Lepisosteus oculatus: one gene and its partner. The protein of the gene in region 1 purifies or fractionates together with the protein of each later gene. This does not show direct contact. Links are inferred from orthologs where the notes say so. Each region holds a gene or a part of one and is shown on either strand. Other genes may lie near its edges.

Evidence for each region.
Region 2: the proteins of exoc2 (region 1) and exoc3 purify together in Homo sapiens (affinity purification with mass spectrometry; 6 studies listed by BioGRID and IntAct, counting the BioPlex papers as one, with this or other methods). This does not show direct contact. The link is inferred for Lepisosteus oculatus from reciprocal best matches to the Homo sapiens genes EXOC2 and EXOC3.

Annotation. Positions count from the first base shown.
Region 1 is NC_090701.1:4,957,437-4,964,574, forward strand, and holds the start of exoc2 (exocyst complex component 2), read right to left. Parts: upstream 3,012-7,138; 5' UTR 2,938-3,011; intron 2,918-2,937; exon of another isoform or gene 2,837-2,917; intron 1-2,836. UniProt on the Homo sapiens protein: Component of the exocyst complex involved in the docking of exocytic vesicles with fusion sites on the plasma membrane.
Region 2 is NC_090701.1:3,227,440-3,234,782, reverse strand, and holds the start of exoc3 (exocyst complex component 3), read right to left. Parts: upstream 3,026-7,343; 5' UTR 2,480-3,025; intron 2,454-2,479; exon of another isoform or gene 830-2,453; intron 45-829; 5' UTR 36-44; coding exon 1-35. UniProt on the Homo sapiens protein: Component of the exocyst complex involved in the docking of exocytic vesicles with fusion sites on the plasma membrane.

The sequences.
Region 1 (7,138 bases):
TTCTGTGATGAATGATATGGGCATTTACAGGAGGAATGGGGGAAATTAACAGTTGTACAGTAAAGTAGAGCTTCTGAGGTCTGGAGGCTACAAAACCATATGCTGTAAACCAAACACGACTGATTAATTAAGCCAGCCATGATTAAATAATTGCGTCTCCCATCTGAATAAGAAACATGCCAACATCATCAATCAAAAGCACAAATTCAGACACCCTGATCTTGCAGAAAAGTATTACAATATTAACAACAAACCTGGCTAGTGTGAAGTCTAAACGGAAAATGAGAGCACTCTATAATCCTATACTGATAAATTGCCTAAAGAGAGCCTTACTACAATCATAAATATTAGGATGCCTTGCCATGTGATTTGTTTATGGAGGATGGCTGGACCACCAAAGTCACCGCACTGCTTTGCCAACATGCAGCTGAACCCTTTCACATGTGGAAAAGACTGCAGCATTGCCAGTACCTTACTGTTCCCATGCACATATGGGTCCACTTGGATACATATCTTTAAATCTCCTTCTCTCTATTTTTCTCAGTCTATTAAAGCATTGGCGCTCCTGCACAAAACATTGAGAAAAACAAAAATGCAGAGGGTGCAGGATCACAATCCCTTTTCTTGCTGTATGATCAAAGCACAAAAAACAGCCATACAATGTAATAAGAATAGGCCAAATAGACTGGAAATGCTTTTGAACTGCACTGGGAAAACTTGTATATTTCTGGCTTCTGTTAATGCATGGTTGTTTTTGTTGTGGATGAGCTTCTGGCATCTCTCCTGTTTTTTTTTTCTTTTCATTCTTTGGAGATGAAACTTGATTTTCCTTTCAGCCACATGACCATCCTAAGCAATGCACTTAAACTGATGACTGATCACAGGAATCTAGCACTTTCTGCAGATGCAAATGCATTTTGGATTCAGCATAAATAATACACCTGATTTAGCAGGGCAATATGGATTGTTACACTTAAATGTGATGGTCAGTCCAAGGGACCTACAGTATGAGCATGACATCATTTAAGACAGCAGTACAGTTTGGTACAGTGCACTGACACACTAATGATTCCTTCTGTAGTGACAAAACAAGCCGGCATGCCTGACTGCCGCTGTGTCTAGAAGTGGGTATGAATGTCTCCAGATGTACCTATGAATGCTGTGCTAAGGCTGAACATTAATTTCCATCATGAGACAAAACACTTTACTACTCTATCACCTCTGCTAATCCCAGTTTCGATTTTTTAAGACAGCTAAGTGAAAGTGCAAGACTCCCCCTGGGCAGGTGGAAGGATAGCCACTGCAAATTAACACCTCCTAAAGGCAATGCAGGCAACTGCTAGCGTAGCTTGGCTGACTAAGGCAGGCAGACTGAGGCGATCCGCTCAAGGACAGTGTCCACGTCTGACTTTCACTGGACAGGGTCATACTGCCAGAGGCCTGTCAGTGCGCATTTCAGCACACTGCGTGCTCTAAACTGCAATAACTTCCTTGAGAAAAGGTAGGCACCCATACCTGTTCGAGTGTTCTAGCAATCACTGACAAATGCTCCGGCCTTTAAACACACGTGCATGATCGAGCGTTGGATCAGGCTTATCTGGCCCAGTGGAGGTTACTGCTTCTCAGTGACTGATCGTGCAGTAAATATACAGAAAGAATGCCAAGCTTTTCTGCCACCCTTTCTGAACAGTATGTCTGCTTTGTGTTATTTCACCACTGCTTATGAGCTATTTATTTTAAGAGGAATTATTAGAGGTACTGTCAAATTATACAAATATATAGACCTAACCTTTGTGATTCTACAGGCATGCCACATTTCAGCAGCTGGAATGCATTTTTTAAAACGCATTTACTGTACACTTTTTATTGCATAGTTTTCCTTGCTTATAGAGCCCACTTTATAGTATCACATCGAGTCAAGTATGATATCAGTAAAAGTTTTGAGCTGTACGCAGGACTGGTTTAATTATATTGCTTCACTGCTGCGTTTTTATCAAAATTAAAACACAAGAAAGCTTGCAAAAGAGAGGAGGTCATTTGGCCCACCTATGCCAATTGGAGAGTTAGGAGTACTTTACTAAATTAAACACAGGAATGTGAGTTTGCTCTTTAAATACTCCTCAAACTCCACACCTTAATAATTCTGCAAACATCTGTGCACACATGCATGCTTACACACATATAAAGAGCCTAACCATACGCAATAACATTCTGGATATAAACTTGGCACACTACTGTTCACAAGCTCCGTTTTCATTGAAACATACCGTACAATTGTGATTTTAACCCCCGATACATCATGCTTTGCTACACTTAAACAGAAAAAACAAAGTAACAAAGTAAACAAGTAGATATAGTACACGTTTAGATACTATATATTCTATTGCGTGTTCAGTTTCAAAACTGGTGTGGGTCCGAATCGACCGGTGTCATCATCCAACAGCTGTCAAAACGGGTGACTAATACAGTCAAATGCGCCAGGGAAGCCCACTCCAACAACAACTATCTTTACGCAGCGATAAAAACGCAAATGCATGTATCACAGTTTAAACAGGATTTCTTTTGTGGTGATCGCTAGCATGACACACCGCAAATGCTACATTTAATCTGGGCGGATATCTTTCTCTTCTCTCGGGATTACTGCAAACTATGGCGTGAGCTTGCAAATCGCATAATTTCATATGTCACTGCGAACTGGATAATTCAGAATTCACGTTCAATACACGTTAAAATGAGAAAGATGAAGAGTGACGGACTAAATAATGTACAAACACTAAGCGCTGAAACGCTTCCCGATCCCTTTCTGACCGAAAACTAGCAGGCAGATATACCACACCTGTAAAGTGAAGGACCGTTATGGACACACTTATTTAGACGACTGAAATTGAGACTCGAGATAAACAAAAACAAATAATAACACCTTAATAATAAACTTACAGTGCTCAGCCGCAGGAAGAGCGAAGTTGACCTCTATGTGACATCAACTTCCAGGTCACCAGTTCCTGTTTTGCTGATGTACATCACATCCGGACGCTGGGGGGAGGGGCTTGGTCTGAGGTGGCAGCAGGGTTGTGGAAGATGGGAGGCAGTCTGGAGATAGGCTTGGTTGCAGAAGCTTTTGCAGATTATAAAATGGGCTTGTGTGTTTTTCTCCCCTTATTTAGACTGTCCTCCCCGAAATTTAAATGCACAGGCTTAGTACCCGCTCGATCTGTAACTTCGTTAGTTTTGGTTGGGTGCGACAACCGGTATGTTCTGTGTTACAGCTGAAACGAATTGAACTTCAAGGCTATGGTTGAGCTGCATAGTGTGTCTGTCCGGTACGTTGTTCCTTTTGCGCTGTGGATATCTCATAATATCACCGGCACGCAACTGTCTTGGGAGAACAGGATAATTCAACTAAGAGTCAAATGTAAAAATTGTTAATTTTTGTTCTCTGTGATTTTAGCTGTAGTCTAGCTGTGTGCACTGTACATGTATGTGCTGTAGGGTCTGAGCTGTGTTATTGCTCCTCTGGCGCTGAAGACTAATCAGCAGGGGGTTGTGTCGTGATTGTCTCTTTGAGCACTATCTAGATGTGTACATGGGCACTGGTAGTAATGGGTAAAACTAATACACCAGCTCCACGTCTTACTATCTGCCTAACACCACAGATACTAGCATATTCTCTGACGTGATTAACCTGGATGATTAAGTATGACCTTAATTACTGCTGCGTGGAAAAGCAAGCCCTTGACCCACTGCTCACCTTTCTGAAGGACAGAAACCAAAGGTCTGGTAGTTCCTTAACCTCAGAGATGATGTGGAGTGAGCTCTGAGAGATGATTAGGACCAAAGGGACTCACAGTCATACGATGATCAAGTTGGCCATCTGATGCGTTTTCCTTTTAAAAAGGTTTATTAATTTTAAGGTGAATGTTATTCTGTACTGATTGCATTGCATGTACCGCAACGAGTCTGTGCAACTGGCCGTGTGTAGATTTACTGCTATAGAGGTTATCGTGAGAAGTGTCATCCCTCTTTCTCCTGCACCTGTGTAAAGATTGGCTTGAATGGAATAAAAACATCCTCTAATTTCCAGGTGTGGTGTTTGTACCCGTTTGTCCATTTTAATCTGCGTCACCAAAAGTCTCTCCAGGAGGCCAAAACCCGAGAGGATGGAAGATCTGTTCCCTGTTTTAGCAGGAGGTGTTTTCACTGACGCTGAGAACTAACGGATGACATCAGAGGGATTTCGCTTGTTTTTTTTAATTTATTTTTATCAGCTCGGCTTCCACCGGGGATTCATTTTGTAAAACCTTACATAAAGGTTAAAGTCCACTTTTGTTTTTTACAAAAACTTAAACGCAGTTTCAGATACAGTGTACTTATAGTTGATTTTAGCAAATGTTCTTATGAAAGTCAGAACTTTGATATCCCCCCGAACATTTAAAAAATGTTTTATAAAAGGTGCTACTGTATAAATTATTTCTGTTTTCCATTTTATTTGTTTTACTAAAAATATTGTGGTCCACTGTTGTGAAGTACTTGTAATTGTGCCATTTCAAACACAGGAGTGCCACTGAGCAAAAGTTTTGTAGTGTAAATATGCATTTATTCTGTAACCAACAGACTTGTTGAAGACAATCTTTTGCATGGTGATGTTTTGTCCATATTAGAGTGCACATCCAATCAGATCTATGATAATCTTCTAAATAAATTAGAAACTGATCATACACTGGTCCGCCAGAGACTAAGCACTAGCACTATAGCTTTCGTACAATAGATAGTGCAGTCTTGTTAACAATGCATGTTTTTTTTAATGTTCCAACTTGCTCGCATTTGGATCGTTACAGCATTTTCACTTGTTCTGGGAATGGCACAGCATCATTAAAAACCTAGCCAGAGACCACCCAAGAGCCTTGCCAAAGATATTTCTTTCACTTAATTGTGCAAATCGAGGGAGAGACATTTATTTGATAAGGAGAAAAAAAAATCTCCAGAGAACCTGTGTTTTCCAATTATGTGAGGTTAATCTTATAATTGATGGCTCAAAACCAGATAGCTAGCTTGGCGATCGCCCCATCACATTTATTGTTGCTTAGCACATGATTGTAGTTAATTACGAAATACTACAGGGGCTATTTGTTAACATAAACATATAACTTAGTCTAATTTCTCCAGAGAATTCAGTCTATTGCTTAGAGATCGCAATGTTTTTCAAGGGAGTTAGTGTAAGTTATCACGCATGCAGATCAATCGGCACACTAAATGATCGCACCATCAAAGTTCGGAAGCTCACAGCAGTATTTCCTGATGCCCATGTGTTGGTGATATTAGCATGCAGGGAAAGCACTCGATCACCACAAAGGGGTAGGTGGGGCCTGGTTGGCCATTTCACACACCATTGGGTTCCATTACCACTTCCCAGATCAGCCAGCTTCTGTTCAGTGGCTGCATGTGCTTGCATGCCGAGGTCTGTGCTGTGAGGCCCTGTTCAATCTTGTCCTACTGATGCTGCAGCCTTGTATATCTGACCGGCCTGCTGCTTACATGGACCCCACACCTTCAGTGTTGAGGAGCAGTGCAAGTAGAATTAAAACTCACCTTCCTTGAATACTTCAAAGATTCGTCACACTAAATCCTGCGGTTATCTGACCCGACACTGATGCCTTTCTGAAGATATTTTTGTCTTTGAGTGGAAATGAAGTGGTGCAGCTGACATTTTGGCGTATCTACCTTAGTGGATTTCCCCCATTGTGAATTAGCTCCCTATGATTCCAGTCTCTATTGTTCCACGATTGTCTTTTCTTTTTTTTTCCCATGGGCCTCTGGCCAGCATTAGGAAGTGGTCATTGTAAATATTGCGCCGGAATCCTGTTCGCCCTTTTGAAAGATCCAAAGCAAGCATGTGAACAGTGGGTGCCTTTTTCCTTCCTGGAGAGTTGGGCTTTAGCTTGAATCCAACCGGCCACTTTCAGCAGAATATCTGTCAAAGTCAGAGGTGATGCCGCTGAAGGTCGTGTGGTCATCCGTAAATTGCAGAAAGAGAGGTGACACAGGGAATTAAGGAAGGGTTTCTGGAAAAAAAACTCTTTCAAGTTACAGGTATTATGGAGTGTACAAAACGTTATAAAGTAATATAAATCGACAAATATTAAGAAGGAATAAGCAGAAGATTAAACCATTATCCCATTACTTGTACACAGCATCTGTGGTGTACTTAAAATAGAAAGTTAACCCTAGAGTGCCAGGAATAAAGACCGAACTGTTAATGGCCAATTTTAATCTCATACAGCTCGTTGGATGTCGAGCAGCTTATGGAGTTAAATAGAATGTATTAGAAGTGCAGGACATTAGAATAGTGTCCACCTTTAGAATACCGAGGAAGTGTAAGGGCTCATACAAATGGAAATGGATATTCTGCAAGCTAAATTGATTGTCGTTTTCCACCTTTTTATGCTACTTATCATGTGATAATATGTCTTAAAACAATTACAAATGAAAGGAGGTATTCAGCTCATCTAGCCCATTAGGTGCCAGCTGCTTACTAAACTAATGACCACTGACAGTTGCCCCGTGTAAATTTAGTGTTTCTTCATATTCCACAACATTTTTGCTAAGCACAGCTGTTTGAGTTTCAATGTCTGACAGGCCCTAATCAATTTGATCTTTTTGATTCCTTCTTCCACAAAGCAGAATATCGGGATTTGAAATCCTATGAGTTAATGTCAAGGATGTCCCATATGCTATTTGTCATATTTTACTGCCTGAATGTTTTATGACATAATTAAACAGAAAAGGGAAGTTATTTGCATTAGAATGGGTTTCACTATTGTTTTGTTTGTAGTGATCTTTGTGAATTCTTCATTGAAATAAATAGGACAGTTGTGTTCAAACAATTGAAAATAACTGGAATATTCCATTTGTTTTTTAAATGTAAGCCACATTACTGTAAGTATTTCTTATCTTTAAATAATCAGAAGATGTACAGTATTTAAGTTTAAGTTCAGTCGTACATTGCATTGGAGAAGTTTCATACAGTGAAAGCAATCATTTTCCTTTTAGAGTTTTTTCTTCCTCTGGATTGAAAAAGGAGCTTCTTTATTGTTGTTATTGGAGTGACCACTTTGGGTTTATTTCTCTCAGGTGGCTTGTG
Region 2 (7,343 bases), about 1.7 Mb from region 1:
GCCTTGGCCACCGTCTCCCTGTCCGTCTCCTCCATTGCCGCCGCCTGCAAGCAGAGGAGTCGCTATGAGCGGCGGGGCCAGCCGCGGACCGGGCTCTGGGGCTGGGGCGCGGGGAGCCGAGCAGCGACACAGGAAGAACAGACGTTCCCACGCGAGGTACCTTCAATAATCGCCAGTGATACTGACAATCCCAACAACCACCTCCCTCCTCACACAGCTATAATGTGTGATGATAATGTTTCTTTATTAGCCCTATACAATTTCTTGCATTAGGAATTCGTCTTTTCGCATACCCCAGCTTTTCTCCATGGAGACACAGACACACAGACAGGGAGAGAAGCTGGGGGTCAGAGCGCTGGGTCTGCCATTGTACGGCGCCCCTGGAGCAGTTAGGGTGAAGGGCCTTGCTCAGGGTCCCAACGGAGTAGGATTCCTCTGCCAGCTGCAGGATTTGAACCAGCAACCTTCCAGCCACAGGCACAGATCCTGAGCCACAGAGCCACCCCTCCGCCCTCCTCTCAAAGCTGAGATAGGCCTGAGAGACAACAGATTTACAGACTTTACTAGCTCTCTAGCGACAGAGTCTATGGTCAGGAACTGTCCTAGCCCTTCTGAACTACTTGTTTGCTGATCCTCCCATTTTTGTATCAACGGCACCAATTTGACTACTTTACTCTATCAGAATCTAGATTCTTGTTCTAAATCAGAAAGGGCAGTGGTCCTAGTACAGACCCCTGTGGTACTCCACCAATTACTAGATCTTCTATCAAACAATTCTCAAATTAAACACACAAACATTTCCTCCAAATGTCCAAAACCTCTCATTTACCTTTTCTGTATCTATGCCGATTATCCCTTAGGAACTTAATTCCATATAGGCAATCCACTAGTTTATGTCAAATGATAGTTTCTTTAACCCTACATGCAACAGAAGTCAAACATATTTGTCTTACTCCAGTTTTCTCACTAATTCTACGGATGGACATGTTATTAGCAATTCTCCAGTCCCTGGTTCCTTCCCCTGTCTTCAGGGACGGCTGGGAGAGCTGCATCCATGGCTTCTGAAAAACATCTCTAGTTTCCACGAGTGCAATTAAAGAAGATTCTGTCAGGCCCTGGGGATTCAATCATCCTGAGAACTTAAACTCTCAGTTTTTGGAATATTTCTCAAACATTAGAGTTGTGTGGGCTCTGTGAAACAGCAAGTACAATGACGTGTCTGAATTCTAAAATAAACCTCTTCAGCCATTTAGGAATGTTAAATCACCTGATTAAAGACAAAAGAAAATCATTCGGTCATGCCGAGATAAAAAAAAAACAAACAAAAAAAGACAATTTTCCACTTTGTTACATCTGGTTTCTGATTTTCCTTCAAACCTTTCTAATTTGTACCACTTGGCACAATAAAAGGATTTCCATTTCGGACAAAATTCTAGGGTGCCTGAAAAAAGCAAAACCACAACGCACGCAACAGTTTGACATTTCCAGAAACAGAAGGTCAGAGAGTTCCAAAGCACTTCAGTGGTTGATTTGAGTGTCATGAAAGTTTTTCTCTCAGCTAGTGCCTGTTTCAATACATTTATTCCTGTCCACCTGACAGGTTAAGGGTATGGAGTCTGCAATACACTGATTTCTACACGTAATAAATGAGTGTATATTCAATTCTGTCTTCTTAGCAAGCAATGTGCACTTGGCAGCACACTGTTACACAAAATGAGAAATCATATTCTACACGTCTGCTTGGCAATGTATGTGCCTTCAATGTGATTGCCAGGGGTTTATGGTAACCTGTACTTGTCCACCTACTAATAAACACTACCGTGTCACAATAAACACTACCGTACGCACACAAACTGACACTTTGCAAACACACACCAACATTATCATTGCAAACATTACTTTGTGCACACAATCGCAAAGTACTTGACACGCACAACAATGCGTATAAATTGCGTGCACAAGAGATTCTTTGCCCTTAATATGGAAAGCATCTTGCACCCGTAACAATGTGAATTAACAGCGTTTTCAGCACTAATCCACCACGACATTAATCAACAAATCTGATATATTTCGATCCGGTAGATAAGCAATTACCTCTACCATGCCGAAGCAATTAATAAGAGTTGGCTGTAAATGTAAACAGTACATCTGAGGAGTTTAGCAAAGAAGCCCTCTCTTTGCAAAACGTCAAAGCACGGTGCTCAAGTACCGTATGCAAATCGGTTTCATCATTATTTCTTATTTAAGCTTGTATTATTACTGCTAGCATCTGCGCGTTTCGTCTGTTTATGCGAAGAACTGCGTGTTGTTGAGCGCTACGTGCTGCGATTGTCCCGCAAGACGCACAACCACAAAAGCCTTTCCCAAAACCAGGATCTGACAGCAAGTTTCCAGGCACGGCAAATGGAAAAATATCTACAGGCCCAGGTGACAGCCGGAACAATTTCGTTTCCTCCCGACGGTAAAAACAGGGACTCACCGCGCACCTACCTGTGAGTGATTTCCGAGGGAGTTGAAAACACACCGTTAAACAGACTGCATTAATAAATGCATCCCATATTCTAGATCACAAAATAAAAACTACCCTTCTCGGTCGCGGTTCGCTGTACGCCGCCCAACTCGCCACAACTGACTGCCACAACTTCCTATTCGGGTTGCCTTGCATTCTGGGAGTTGGAGTTTTCTCAAGTTCCTACAACAAAGACTGCAAAAATTCAAGATACAGTGCACGGACAGTATAGTCTATATAATATTCGAGCCAAGGCCAACCAAGTGACACATGTACTTGCCCTCTGCGATTTTTTTTATGGCTAACACGACATAGTTTTAAAACTTCAGTACGCTGAGAAACGAGCTCCAGCATAATATGTTCTACTACTGTACAAATGTAGTTTGATTTGCTACCATGGCTATCTGACAGCTAGCCTCTCACTTATGTCATTCGAAAATTCCCTAAAACCTGCTACCAAAAAGAAAATAAAACCTTAGAGCTGAGTACTTGGTGCCCATAAAAGAATGAAACTCTGTATTTGGGACAAATCAGTAACAGTCCACCTTTTAAAACAAAATCAACAATATTAGATTCTAAACCGCCAACAACATTGAACGGAATGCTGGGATGGGCTTACTGTTTCAATGACAAGGGTGACAGTACAATGCCCTTGCCAGACCTTCACCATCTGTGCAGGACAGTGGTGTTATCTCTCGTCTTCTGTAGGTAACAGTCTGTACCGAAACACCCGCCGTGCAGAAGCACACATCTGGTAAGGGACCCACAGTCCGATGAGACTGTTTCTCCTAAGCAGTTCAGCAGTTCAGCTCACAGACCTCAAGAACCACGTCTCTGTGCAAAGTGCATTCATCTTCAGCCCGAACTAGCTGCTTCTGTTTTTTATGAGCTTGTTCATGCTCCTACCGCCACTGAGGAATTCCTCTACCTTTTAATTTTAACATACTTTTAAAATGCAAAGGGCACTATCATTATTGCCATTATTCATGTGCACTCTTAAATGCAGTTTCATGTTTAAGTTAACGTTCATTACTAAAATGCTTAGAAATCCAGTATACTGTTTGTCTGAGTGGGGGGGGGCTGAGTTACTCCGTACTGGAGGAAGAAAAGGTTAACTACACCCTACAAAACACCGATACACCTGGAGAAGGTTCAATGGCTGAATCGTGGTGTTTCTTCCTTCATCATGGAGGTTTCTTGCTCTTTTGAAATCCATGGGCTGTTGTCCTTGGTGGTGTTTTCACTTGAAAGTGAGCAATGTCAGGGGTGAGGCTGGCAGGAGCTGTTTGCAGGATGTGAAATGTGGCCTTTGGCACAGCCCTTGCCCTGTCCTGAGCTGTCCTGCGTTAACTCCAGCTAACTCCAGCTGTTCGTTTACCATGCAGTAATCAGCACCACTCCACCGACTGCAGCGAATCCGGGAGGTGTCTTCCGTTCGGAAAGCTTCCCAGAAGGCGACGAGAGCACAGTTTTCAATTCCCGGAGTCGTGTGAAGGGACCTCCCCATCAGAGTTCACACCACATTTGTCACAAACCAGGCGCTGTTCCTACAGATGTGGGCTTCATCTCATTTGGGTTTCATTTCCAAACGAAAAGCCTCAGCAGGAAGTGGTGAAAAGATGGGAGAGAGTCTAATGCAGGAAACTACTGTACACTCCTTAAAGAGTCTCATGAGTGTCGGCAACTGCAACATTCACCTCCTTTTTAGATAAATATTGCTCCCTAGCATTGCTTGAAACATAAACCTTCAACAAGATTGTGAACATAATACACCTTAGGGTTCACAATCTTGTTGAAGGTTTATGGGGTTTAAAAGCTGTTACGCAGCTATTGTAGACTGTTTTATAAAATAATGTTTGCAAAATATTTACAGTAATGCAAACCCTTACACCTTAATTTTACAATGATTTACACATTATATGTATATGTTACACTGAAGATAAATATCAAACGTATAACTGTCTCTTAGAAATATTTGCATCAGGTTATGTAAATCAAAAGTAAAATATTTATATGGGTTATTCACAATATTTATAAATGACTTCACAAGAGAATTGGAGAGACAGTACAATATATCAATTGTTATTAGTCCATGATCCAGTGAGGACAATGATTAGGATTCATTATTTAATGTATTTGCTGTATTTTCCAATAAAACATGATAGTCTCTACTAAATAAAACATTCCAGGATCCAAAAGACAGTAAATCATTAAATTGTGGTACAGTGGGCTCTGAAATAAAATAGGCCATTGAAGGTATTGTCAGCTTGTCATGTATATGTTTATCTCTTTTCCTAAACCTGCCACTAATCATCTTAAAAGGGCTTATCCCAGTCACTGATCCATAGTACTGGGTACTGTTGTTTGTTTGTTTGTTTGTTTTTTTGACCTGGCATGCCAGTTGTAATCTGAGGGATTAAGTGTCATTCAACAAACCCAACTTGAACATAGAATGGCAAATGAAATTTCAAATCAGAGCCTGTCCATCTCTTCTCGTGAAGTCTGGCTAAGCATCACCAGCTTAAAAGAGAACCTGGTGAATTGTGGGTACAGTATTTTAGCTGCTGCGGCGAGGCTATCTAGAATACCCTCCAGAAACCTGAATAAATCAGGTTCACTTTTAAAAAGGTGCAGCAGGTCTGTAGCTGTTGCTTTAGAAATACAATAAATGCAAACAACTTAAATAATGTTTGTTAAAAATGATCTCTGCATAGAATATCTTCAGTGTGGAAATGTTCTGAGGCGTGAGATTCTCTGCCCTTGTCAGAGAGCTTCCTGACCATTTTAAATTATGTATTCTTTTAAGGAACTCATGTTCAAATCCAATTACGTACAGTACAGTACAGTACCATTTGCTTCTTGGCAAGCTTCTTTTGAGAACTAAAACTGAGTGATCTGATCGAAGCGAAGTCCTAACGCGTTGAGGATCTTTAGAATCAGTCGGATTCACATTTTCGTGCCAGACTTTGGGGTAATTCAACTTCATAATATTAAATAAAGATCAAGATTCTTTGTGCGGTGAGAGCAAGCAGTCTCTCTACGCATTTTATTCTTTGACATGTAACACATCACTCTCGGCTTGTGTCTGAAGGTGTTCCAGCTGAAATCTTCCCAGAAGTGGGACCGCCAGGCAGCCGGAGGGGCGAGGAGCATGTGGGATCAAAAGTAACCCCTTTTGAACGGAATGACACTTTGCCGGGGTAGGAGTAGTTTTATATGCAAACTACTGCTGTTCGCCATGCCGGAGTTTATCCTGGTCTCTGTAATGAGCAAACACGTACAGTAACTCCACCCTCTCCGCGCACCTTACCTCAGGATATTTACATGAGCTGGAAAGGACACCGAGTGAGAGGTACAGTACCTGGCACCAGACCCTTGCTCAATGAATGAAGAGATCTGCTTTTTAAATGGTATTTGTCACCCAAGACAAGTTAGGTGGCGTTTTCCGCTAAAACGCATTTGGTTTGTAATGACCCTATTTTAAACTGTTTATAGCACTTGGGAATAAGAAGCATTGATTGCTGTGTGATCTTCTGGTATGCTCTCTGAACAACACGAACCAGAGCGCCGACAGTATTAACTGCCTGTAACACAACGCGGTTCCTCTTTTGTAGGTCAGTTCGTGAGAGACCCAGTGAACACCTGACGAGTCGAGAACGGTGACAGACCGAACTTATTGCACTTCTGTGTTTTGCTTATGCATTTCGGTATAGGTACGATTAAAGGGATCTTACAATTATCACAGATAAAAGAAGAGAAAATGTATGTGTAAGTGTGGTTTTCCTTGGCATAAAAGACTGGAAACATTCTTTGAGGAAAAAAAAAGGCTTTCAGTGCATTCAGAAACCGTGCAGTCATTAAATCCTGTTTTTACAGTTGTGCATTAATCACTCCAGTTTTCTTAACAATTATGTCATCAAACGCGTTCACATTCCTAGATTTATTTTAACTGAAGCCCTGAACAATTAGAATATGAGGTCTGAGCATGGCAGCATGACTGACTAGTATTCTCCGAGGGCGTTCTTGTGTTGAAGCAGATTCCTCTCCACATCGTCGTGCTTCTGCTGCCTAGTCCAGACACTCAGAACCACACGCAACATGACATCGCACACACTTCGCCGTCCGCCAGGTCTAACAAAGGGCCAAACATCATCCGCGGGCAAACGCGACACTCCCACACTCCCACGGTCTCCATCCCCACGTTCTCGGCTTCACAGAGAACCGCGATTTAGTCTCCCAGCTGTCAACCTGTGAGCCCTGAATGCCCTCCAAGCATGCAGATAATCTTCATGCAGATTTGTGAGCTACAGTCATTCTTCTTCAAGGATGCTCTTGAGTTGTAGCTGTGCCACCTAAAAACTGATTACATAGGTGGGTCAGAACGACATGCAGTCTGGTGACTCTCTGCCTCCCAGTATGTGGCCTGTCCTGCGCAGTGCCAGTTACCTGTTTATTCCGCTGAAAGTTGTTGAAACAGACCATCTAAATTTTGGGGGCAGCGTCTGTCTTAGTCACTTTTAATCATGCCAGTAGAAACCAGACAGTTTTCTTTAACCAGGAGGAATCTACTCTAGATACCTCAACTACATGAATTAAAATCAAGTTCTTCAAGGAATACTAATAATAATACTGAAATGATCATCAAACCTCTCTGCCCAGTAAAGACAGATACATTATGTTAATTTCATTTAAAATGTAAATAACATAACGTATGTGCCCAATGAGTTGTTGATATGCTGTACAACTTAAAACTGTTGTGTTTCCATGGTGTATCAGAAGGTGCACAAACAGAGTACAAACCTTGGGGTACAAATAGTAGTGAATATCATGAGGA